2 linked regions of the Danio rerio genome follow. Each later gene encodes a partner of the first gene's protein in a complex. Links are inferred from orthologs where the notes say so. Each region holds a gene or a part of one and is shown in the gene's direction. Other genes may lie near its edges.

What was found. The genes of interacting proteins can lie anywhere in the genome.
Region 2: the proteins of gdf5 (region 1) and rgmb are in contact, whole or in part, in a crystal structure (PDB 6Z3J), measured with the Homo sapiens proteins. The link is inferred for Danio rerio from reciprocal best matches to the Homo sapiens genes GDF5 and RGMB. Residues at the interface, in NP_000548.2 of Homo sapiens: Leu396, Arg399, Phe435, Pro436, Leu437, Arg438, Ser439, Asn445, Val448, Ile449, Leu452, Ser455, Met456; in NP_001353437.1 of Homo sapiens: Gln57, Thr60, Phe63, Val64, Thr67, Ser68, Leu70, Asn71, Tyr88, Leu103, Val104, Ser107, Ala108, Leu110, Gly111, Ile112, Asp114, Leu115, Gln118.

What each region holds. Positions count from the first base shown.
Region 1 is NC_133181.1:55,375,232-55,380,713, reverse strand, and holds part of gdf5 (growth/differentiation factor 5), read left to right. Parts: intron 1-1,126; 5' UTR 1,127-1,617; coding exon 1,618-2,179; intron 2,180-5,482. UniProt on the Homo sapiens protein: Growth factor involved in bone and cartilage formation. During cartilage development regulates differentiation of chondrogenic tissue through two pathways.
Region 2 is NC_133180.1:56,369,364-56,373,719, reverse strand, and holds part of rgmb (repulsive guidance molecule B precursor), read left to right. Parts: intron 1-2,338; coding exon 2,339-3,019; 3' UTR 3,020-4,356. UniProt on the Homo sapiens protein: Member of the repulsive guidance molecule (RGM) family that contributes to the patterning of the developing nervous system. Acts as a bone morphogenetic protein (BMP) coreceptor that potentiates BMP signaling. Promotes neuronal adhesion.

The sequences.
Region 1 (5,482 bases):
ATGTATTTACGAACATGAACAAACTATCAGTAATACATTTATCACGGCATTTATTTATCTCTGTTAACGTTATTTAAGTGAAATAGCGTTAGTTCATATTAATTTGGTGCATGTAACTGTTAACAAGCAGAACTTTGGATTTTAATAATGCATTAGGTAATGCTGAACTATGATTGATAAGTGCTTTACAAAATTATTCATATTCAGTTAATGTTAGTTCAAGAATGCCACTGGTTCGAGTCCCAGCTGGGTCAGTTGGCATTTCTGTGTGGAGTTTGCATGTTCTCCCTGTGTTGGTGTGGGTTTCCTCCGGGTGCTCTGGTTTTCTCACAGTCCAAAGACATGTGCTATAGGAGAATTGGATAAACTAAATTTTCTGTAGTGTATGGCTGTTTCCTCGTATACTGGGTTGCAGCTGAAAGGGCAACCGCTGTGTAAAACGGATGTTGCATGAGTTGCCGGTTCATTCCGCTGTGGTGACCCCTGGTGAATAAATGGACTAAGCCGAAGGAAAACTAATGAATGCTTTTTCATGCATTAATAGTAAAATCTTATTTAAAGGGATAGACACGCATCTGTCATTTACTCAGCCATTTGTTCCAAGCCTGTTTGAGTTTATTTTACTTTTTAGAGTTGAACACAAAAGAATATATTTTGAAAACTGGTAACCTTTGACCATCTATATTAGGGAGAAAATTCTGAGGGTGTTGGTGTTGTAACCCAAAATATAAGGACAAATCCAACACTGGGTTAATTTTATCAGTTCAATTTAAAATTACACATTTACAACCCAGAGGCTGGCTTTGTCCATATTTGACCTAGTGTTGGTTTGCAACAACCCAGCATTGTTCAGAGGGTTACCAGTTTTCCAACATTTTTCCAAATATCCTCTTTTGTGTTCAGAACAAAACACTAACTGCTTTGAGACACGTTAAGGGTGAGTAGCTATATGATGGCAGGTTTTTTTTTTTTGTCTTAAGTTGAACTATCTCTTTAACATCCTTACGTCAGCTGTCACATGATGTTTAATGCATGAATAATTTGCATATCAAATCTGACTTGTGGCTCAAAAACCGAGGGTTTATTTTAGTGACCTAATGCGAAGATGTTGTTTTTATGTATTCAGTGACTCATGCTTTAAGAAGAAATATTGCACTTGAATAAATCTGGACAGCATGACATCAGAGAGTAATTAAGCCCGTTTGCGTTGGAATTCCGTTTCCAATTCCTGTGCTCAGGTTTGCGCGAGCACCTGCAGGTGCGTGTGTGTGCGCTGTTTTCACTGGACAGCGTTCAAACTCTGGGGAAGAGAGCGAGGGAGAGCGCGCATTACGCCATCCTTCCCTCCTGGAAAAAGTGGGAATTTAAACAAGTCTCTCTGAAGATATCAAGCAGAACCGCTGGACTTCGGTGAAGGACGCTGCGCTTTCCTACTAGGATCTTGGATCTCCGCTTTTGGAGCTGGATCACTATGGTTCTGAAGAGCGGGACTCATGGCGATGTTTTGCGCATAATAATCGATCAGACGTTTCCAAAGCTTCATCTGTACCTCTCCAAACCCGCTCATGGTAGAGCTGTCCATTTCTCCATCACCGAAGCTCAGAGGAAGATCAGAGGATGAAAGTTCTGACTAGTCTCCCTCTTTTACTGGGCTTCTGGACTCTGCTGGACTTCATCGTCGCCGGTCACATGAGCGCCGGAGCGGCCAAACTCAATCCGCGGTTCCCGGTGGCGCGCAACGGCACCCCCGATAACGCGAAGATCTCCCGCATCCGCGCCGGTCCTCCTCCGATAAAGGCTGACGGGAACCCTGCGCGCGTCAGTTTAGGGCGCAAGGAGGCCGCGCGCTCTTGGGTACCCAAGGATGCAGCAAACCTCGCATCCCCTTCAAGCATCCAGCAACACAGTAAAGCAGCTTCTACGCAGAAATCCTCCGCTCCGGCCGCAGTCCGTGCCGCTCCTGCCGGGATCAAGAGCATCGCTCCGGCTCCGTCCCATCTGCGGATGAAGAGCGCGGTGAAGCTGGAGAACAGCGAGGAGCCCAAACACCCGCTAGTGATCCCTCATGACTACATGCTGTCCCTGTACTGGTCCCTGACCAGCGGAGACGTCAATACCAGTGTCCTGCACGAGGCGGGGATGGCCAACACCATCACCAGCTTTGTGGACAGAGGACAAGGTGATGCACAACAATGTGTTTGACTTATAGAGTTATACTGAATGTGTATTATAACCGGGGCAAGTTGTCACAATGGGGATTAGTGAGGTCAAAATGTTTTTTCTCCAATAAACCGGGGTTTATTTCACTGCAATATTAAATATTAGGCTACATTCATTTATGTATATATATTTTTAACGAATTATTTGGTAACACTTTAAAATAATACTCTATTAGTTAATGTATTTACTAACATAAACAAACTATTAGTAATACGTTTATCACAGCATTTATTCATCTCTGTTAACGTTATTTAAGTGAAATAGCTTTAGTTCATATTAATACGTGGTGCTTGTAACTAATGTTAAAAAGCATAACTTTGGATTTTAATAATGCATTAGGTAATGCTGAACTATGATTGATAAGTGCTTTACAAGATTATTCATATTCAGTTAATGTTAGTTAATTAGCTAATGAAACATTATTCTAAAGTGTTACCAATTATTTTTTATAACCATTTACTATAACTTACTCATATGAACACTATCAAATGAATACTTCTTACGTTATGGGGAAGGATTTTTAATGCATTTATTGATTGATTGATTTATTTATTTAATCTCCAACAGTGTGACAGCATGCCCCACCGTTAGGGGACAGTATCGTTTTGTCCTCGAGGATGATGGTAAAAATGCTCAAATATCTGGCAGTTTTTAGGGGAAGATTTTCATGTCTCCCCATAGGAAAAAAAAACTAAAAATGGCTTTTAAGACAAACCACTATAAAATATTAACTCAAGTAGAAAGTGTGATAGATAGCCCCAGTCTCAGATTCTATTACCAAAATCGCATTAAAGTTTATATTTTAGCTGTTGTTACTTGCCACGGTTTTGAGTATGTATGTATGTATGTATATATATATATATATATATATATATATATATATATATATATATATATATATATATATATATATATATATATATATATATATATATATACTTAAAACTGTGGCAAGTTACAACAGCTAAAATATAAACTTTAATGTATATAAACTTTTATATATATATATATATATATATATATATATATATATATATATATATATATATATATATAAACTTTAAATATAAAATATAAACTTTTATATATATATATATATATATATATATATATATATATATATATATATATATATATATATATAAACTTTAATTATATATATATATATATATATATATATATATATATATATATATATATATATATATATATATATATATATATATATATATATATATATAATTTTTTTTTTTTTAGCACTCTAAATAGCTGTAGGGACTGTAATAACTGATTGTGAGCATAAATATTTTTATCTAGTTTGACAAATGACCAGACCTCATCATAAATGTCTATGATGGCACAAAAAAAAGTTAGAAAGGAAATAGTTCGATTGAGTTATAGCCTGTCAAACTACAGGATGCTGCTGTCACTGCTTGAAATGTCACGTCAACTACCCATTTTGGAGTCTACTGCATTAACGTTAAATTGTCCTTTTCAGTTTATACAATAGAGTCAAAATAAGAAAACATCTTATTTCTGCTTAGCATTTCACTACCCATTAAATCTGCGCAAGCTTTTTTTTAATCCGGTTCTCTGACCAAAACCAACTGTGTCAATATGCATCTGGCACAGGACTTTTGATGGACCTCTGCTCAAAGTAAATAAACTCCTGGGCCGGTTACAAGTAGGTGGCCTCAATATGCTTTTATTTTTTTCTGAGTAAATCTTTTTAAAACGGCATTTAAGCAGTCTTGCTTTTTGTAACCGAGTCCTCAGAAGCTTTGAATGGTTTTAGTTTATGCCGTGTGAAATGCTCTATGCAGATTTATAGTTTCCACATCTTCTGTGGACACGGAGCAAAAATGCTTGGTTTTTCTCTCACCTGAAGGAAAATAATGATCATCTATTCATCTCCCTGTCATTTAAAACCTCTATTTGTGAAGATAAAAGGGGATATTAGCTCGCATTTACCTTTATTGAAAAAAGTAACCTGTAACATTCTGCAAAACATCTCTTTGTGAAGAAAGAAAGTTATACATGTTTGGTTTAATGTGATTTTATTTTAGGAGAAAGTTTGGAAATCCATTGCACGTTATGTCCTTTTAGTGTAATTCACATCACCGCACACACACACGCACGCACGCACGCACACACACACGCACACACACACACAGTTTTAATCAGCTGCACTCTCTCTGCCCTTCTCCGTGCACTTCAGATGGTCTTTTCAGCCCATGTTAGTGAAAGCCATATGTCACGGTGGTAGGCCCACTGGTAAATAGCTGCAGGTTGATAATAATGCTGTGTTTACAGTATGTTGTGGTCTCCAGACCAAGGTCGTCTGGTTTTAATAGTCTTTTGAAAGCAAACTGTTCTTGGATAAAATGAAACCTTTGATTTTTATAATGCACTGCCTTCATGTTGCATTGCATGCAGAGAGAGAGAGAGACACACACACACACACACATAATCAGGATGTGAATCAGCTCTGATTGTGAAAAAGTTTAGCTGTAGTGCTTTAGAAAAGATCAAAGTGACAGATCATATTAGCATTTAAAAGATAAATCTCTTCAGTTACATCAAAGTTACGTAATGGTATCAGATGGCAATACCATCTAACTGAATCATTTCCATATTTATGCAATATGTTGTTAATTGTGCATGATACACTATAGCTATTCAAAAAATGTCTTTGGATTGCCATGATAAATGTCTAAAAGTTGATATTTACGTAATGCTTTTTTAAAAATCTGTGGCATTACCACCATAAAACACAGTATTAACCTGAAATCATGTGGAAAAAACATAGTATTACTATAGGTAATTGTATTATAATTGTGGGAAGTGTAATAGCATGAAGAAAAACACTTTACACTACCTTACAAAGGTTTTGTCGTTAATACCATTTCTAAGAGCAACAAATAATAACTTGGCTTCTAGTTGATCATTTGGAAAAGTGGCAAAAGGGAGATTTGAATCAGCTGTTGAACTGCATCCCAATCATATCTAATACTGCAGAAGAATGATTAAACCACTTGAAAAAGTGGCAGAAGGTCGATTTTTCAGATGAATCATATGTGAATCTGCATCCTAATCATCACAAATACTGCAAAAGACCTATTGGAACCCGCATGGATCACAAGATTCTCACAGATATCTCAAGTTTCTCAAGTGTAGTGAAGGAAAAATCATGGTTTGGGGCTACATTCAGTATGCAGGTGTGTGAGAGATCTGCAGAGTGGATGGCAACGTCAACAGCCTG
Region 2 (4,356 bases), on another chromosome or scaffold:
AAGATTATCAGAAAGAGCCGCAGGCGGCAGATAAGACCAATAACATTCAACTTTGACCAAGCAGTCACAGGTGCAAGTTAAACAAAGCAAACAGCCATCATCTTGTGACTAACACTTGTGACCAACATGTCTGTGAAATTGTAACATCATTAATGGCTGGCTGTGGCCTGCAACACAGCATGACCCATTAAAGGTGATTTTGAAAGAAGCCTCTGTTTTTTTTTTGGGGTTTTTTTTTTCCCCAAGTGTGGCACTTACAGACAAACACTCGAAGCAGAGCCGTTTACAACAAACACAAAGCCATAAGTGCTAAATCAGAAGCATTTCTGTAATATGAAATAGCCGTAAATGATACAGCCTGCGTATGCAAGATATTTGCTATTTTTGTTGAGCTCATCATAGGACAGATGTGGCTTCAATGCTAAGTCTGGCTGCCAATGCTAATTACTGCTCATTTGACCCCTTGACCTTAAAGGTGGGGGAGCCATCATTAAACATTTGCAAGTAATTATTAACACACAGTGCTTAACTGAGGCCTTTTCAGCTGCCTCACCTTATGGCCAACTAGTCATCATTTTTCATCCTCATCCTGTGTACAAAGCTACTATTCATCCACCACTAATGTAACGCCACACTTCCTATTAGCCAGTGCTTTTGCTTCCCACAAGTCTTAGAGTTTCACAGCAACTGTAAGCTGACTGCATTTTATGGTTCACACTTGCAGAAAGGGTTTGCGTGTCTGTAAATATGTGTGAAAGTCTAAAGAACTGTACAAATCCAGATTTTCTTGTTTAATTCTCATTTTTTTCACGTGATTTGTGTTATTATATCAACACAAATTATATTAAGAAGTGCATTGTAATGTACAGATACACTGGAAATATGCTTTTTGTTGTGTGTGATGTTAAAAAATATTTCTCAGTTTGTTTATAAATCCTGACTGGACCAATATTGTATCGTCTGCTCAACTAATAATAGATATTTTGTTCCGCCAATAGGAAAATGGGAATTGTTTGGGGAAACAGATTTAAAGTGACTATGTTTTAAATGGACTGGTGTTTTTGTTGTCATTTAATATTTATGCTTTTCAGGTTAATCTTTGTTTTGATTTGTTATTGGGTCTCAAAAGTTATTTACAAACACAGTAGCTGTATGTTTTATTTTGCGGGAATATTATCCAACAATCTGAATAGCTGCCATATAATAATGAATAGTTTTGAAAAAAAATGAGATAAAATTTTTTTGTCAACTTAAACCATGTTTAAAGCATAGACTGTACGTTTCTAAACAATGCAAAAGAAGCTACAAGTAGGTGTGGCCAACTGTCATAATTTTGTTCACGCGTCATCACACGGACCGCGGGATGTCAAATAACGGCAAAGAAGTGGAGCAAGACATAACACTCGATGACAACGTTTCAGATTACTCTTTTATAGCCAAGAGTCAATCAATCTGTCTGATTCTGGAGTGCTTAACAGGTCTAAAGAAAATTATAAATGATAAGTAATCTTAAGGAAAACAAATACATTTACAAACATGGTATATAAGCATATGATTTTACTTACCTGGGAAGTGGAGGCAACTTGAACAATTTGTGAGCACGATTATGTGCACACAGCATGCTATTTTATCTGATAATTGCAGGAAATAATTCCGGCTAATCAGTCGGAATCAGCTGTGGTGACAAGACAGCGAGTAGCGAGACCTATTTAAGTTAAAAATTGCTAAAAGTTCTAAAATTAATAAAACTAATCTGAAATAAAAGATATTATTTTAAAAAACAAATACTATTTCAAATTTTGCAATAAATGCTATAATACTTACTATAATACAGAACTAATAATAATTCATTAACATCATCAAAAAACAATTGTAATTTTAAAAAAAGTTTGATAATTGTAAATAAGTGTTCATTCAGAATATGTCCACAGAAATCAAAATGCTTGCATGTATGTGGAGACAATTATGTCAATCAAAATGAATCAATTCTACTGATATCATAAAGGTCATAGAAAAAGCAGCAGCAGACCTAACATTTTCTAATAAAATGGACCAAACCTATTTATTTTATAGTACAGCAAACAGTTTGGTCATGGGGTTAAAGAATTAGTAGTGAATTTTTAAAATGGAAATGAATATAGCTTGATATTTTTTATACTTTATAAAGTATTAAAAGTAAATTCTGCACATGTACAGTATTTGTTCTGCACTCCTGCTTACCAAACCAAAAAGCCATGACGTTATACCCCTAAATGAATTGTCACAGTAAGATCAGTAAAACGCTCTAGATAGTAAATAGACTCTGTAGTCTAACTATGCTCTTTGTGCTTCTTTTAAGATCACAATAATCTTCAAACCATACCAAGAATGCACAGACCAGAAGGTCTACCAGGCCGTGACAGACGACCTTCCAGCCGCCTTCGTAGACGGCACCATCAGCGGAGGTGACAGTGAGACCCGCAGCATCTGGATCCTGGAGAAATCTCCCGGTCGGCATGTAGAAATCCACGCTGCGTACATCGGGGTCACCATCATCATACGCCAGCAGGGCCGTTACCTGACACTAGCTGTGCGGATGCCTGAGGAACTGGCCATGGCCTTTGATGAAACGCAGGACCTGCAGCTGTGCATGAACGGCTGCCCCACATCAGAGCGCATTGACCAGGAGGGACACCTCCAGCTGCCCGTGCTTGGCCTCCAGCAGGCTGGCTTTCAGCAGCAGCAGCAGCCCAGGGTGGAAGCCCAGAGAGGCGTCTTCACTCTTGAAAGTGCCTCCAGGAGGTGCAGGGACCAACTGGAGGTGAAGGACATCTATTTCCACTCCTGTGTGTTTGACCTGCTCACTACAGGAGATGCCAACTTCACCACTGCCGCCTACAATGCCCTGAAAGACATGGAGACACTGCATCCCAAAAAGGAGCGCTGGCAGATTTTCCCCAACTCGGCTTCCAGGCTGAGTCCTTTTTCATTGCTTCTCACTGCACTGCTGAGCAGCTTCCTTATCGCTGTGCTTTTATAATGCGTATCGTGTTTTGATAACTGTTTCGAAGAAGAAAAAAATGGCAGACAGTGTAAATAGTCAGTACTCTGGATAAAGAGTACTTTGTATATACTGTGTGTGTGTGTGGAGAATGAATGTTTGCAAACAAACCTTCGTTAGACTGTACATTTTGTGTAAATCAATTTTTCAAGATTGTAGATTTTTGTGAGGTGAATTTTTTGTCATGTGTTTGTCCTCAGGTGAGGAGATCTTATTGGAAGCACTTTATTTTTATTTTGTTTTCTTTTTTTGTTTGCAACTAGGAAACAGTGTTCAACGGAACCAGTGCTCATGTTTTGTGCTACAATCTGAGCTTTTTCTTTCATACATTTCTATGAGTCTCTACAGAAAAAAGGTACATACCTAACCATTTTGCTCTGTAGAACCGTGATAAATATTTTTAATAATGTGGCTGGCGTAGTGATTGTGTGATAGAGGTTTACAGAAGGATTACGTTGACTAGACTTTCACTTTGTCTGTATTTCTTTTTAATCTACTACTCAGTACTGTTGAGTAGTGTTGATCAGCAATTTGAAGAATTCAAGCAAACGCACAGGAAGGTTGAAGTGCACTTAATTCAGAAATCATCAACCATTTGAATTCTGTATTGGCAGTTAGGTTCTTTTATTAAAAAAGTGACAATCAAAATTATTTTTGCTTGGTAAAAACTACCTATTTTATGTAAAAACTAACAAAAAAAAATCACCAGTCCTAAAGAATTTTTAATGCCAGGTTCAGATTACATGATTTCTCCCTGATAAAATTGACAAAGAGAGTGATGTATGGAGTAGGCACCACTCCTCATCCACCATCCACTCATCCAACCTATCCCTTCTAGTAACAACTGTGATTCACAAACAACTTTCAGCCATTATGTTTAGTGTTCCTTAGACATTCTAAAGAGACATTCAAAATATTTTCAGTGCCCTTTGGTGGTTGGCTATAGGCATGGGGTAGACATTTTTTCTCCACAATGTCTGACTTTGAACCATAGGAGCAATGAAGGAAAGGTTTGAGTTCAGATGCCTTTGTTTGTTAACATTTACATTAGTCAGTAACAAGTTCTGCCTTCGCTGTGACATCATACATGCCTTTTAAATAGTCAAAATCACAACTAAAATGAACCAACACAACAGACAAAAACATTGTTTAGTCTGAACCTGGCATTAAAAAAACACCACAATAATATGCTAAAAGCTTTATCCGCTTTCAAACTAATTTCATAGTGAGCGTCTCTCATTGAGTGGACTAGAAAATGGACATTGCGTAAGTGGGCCACGTTTCATATAGTGACACGCAAGAAGATGCGGCAAGAT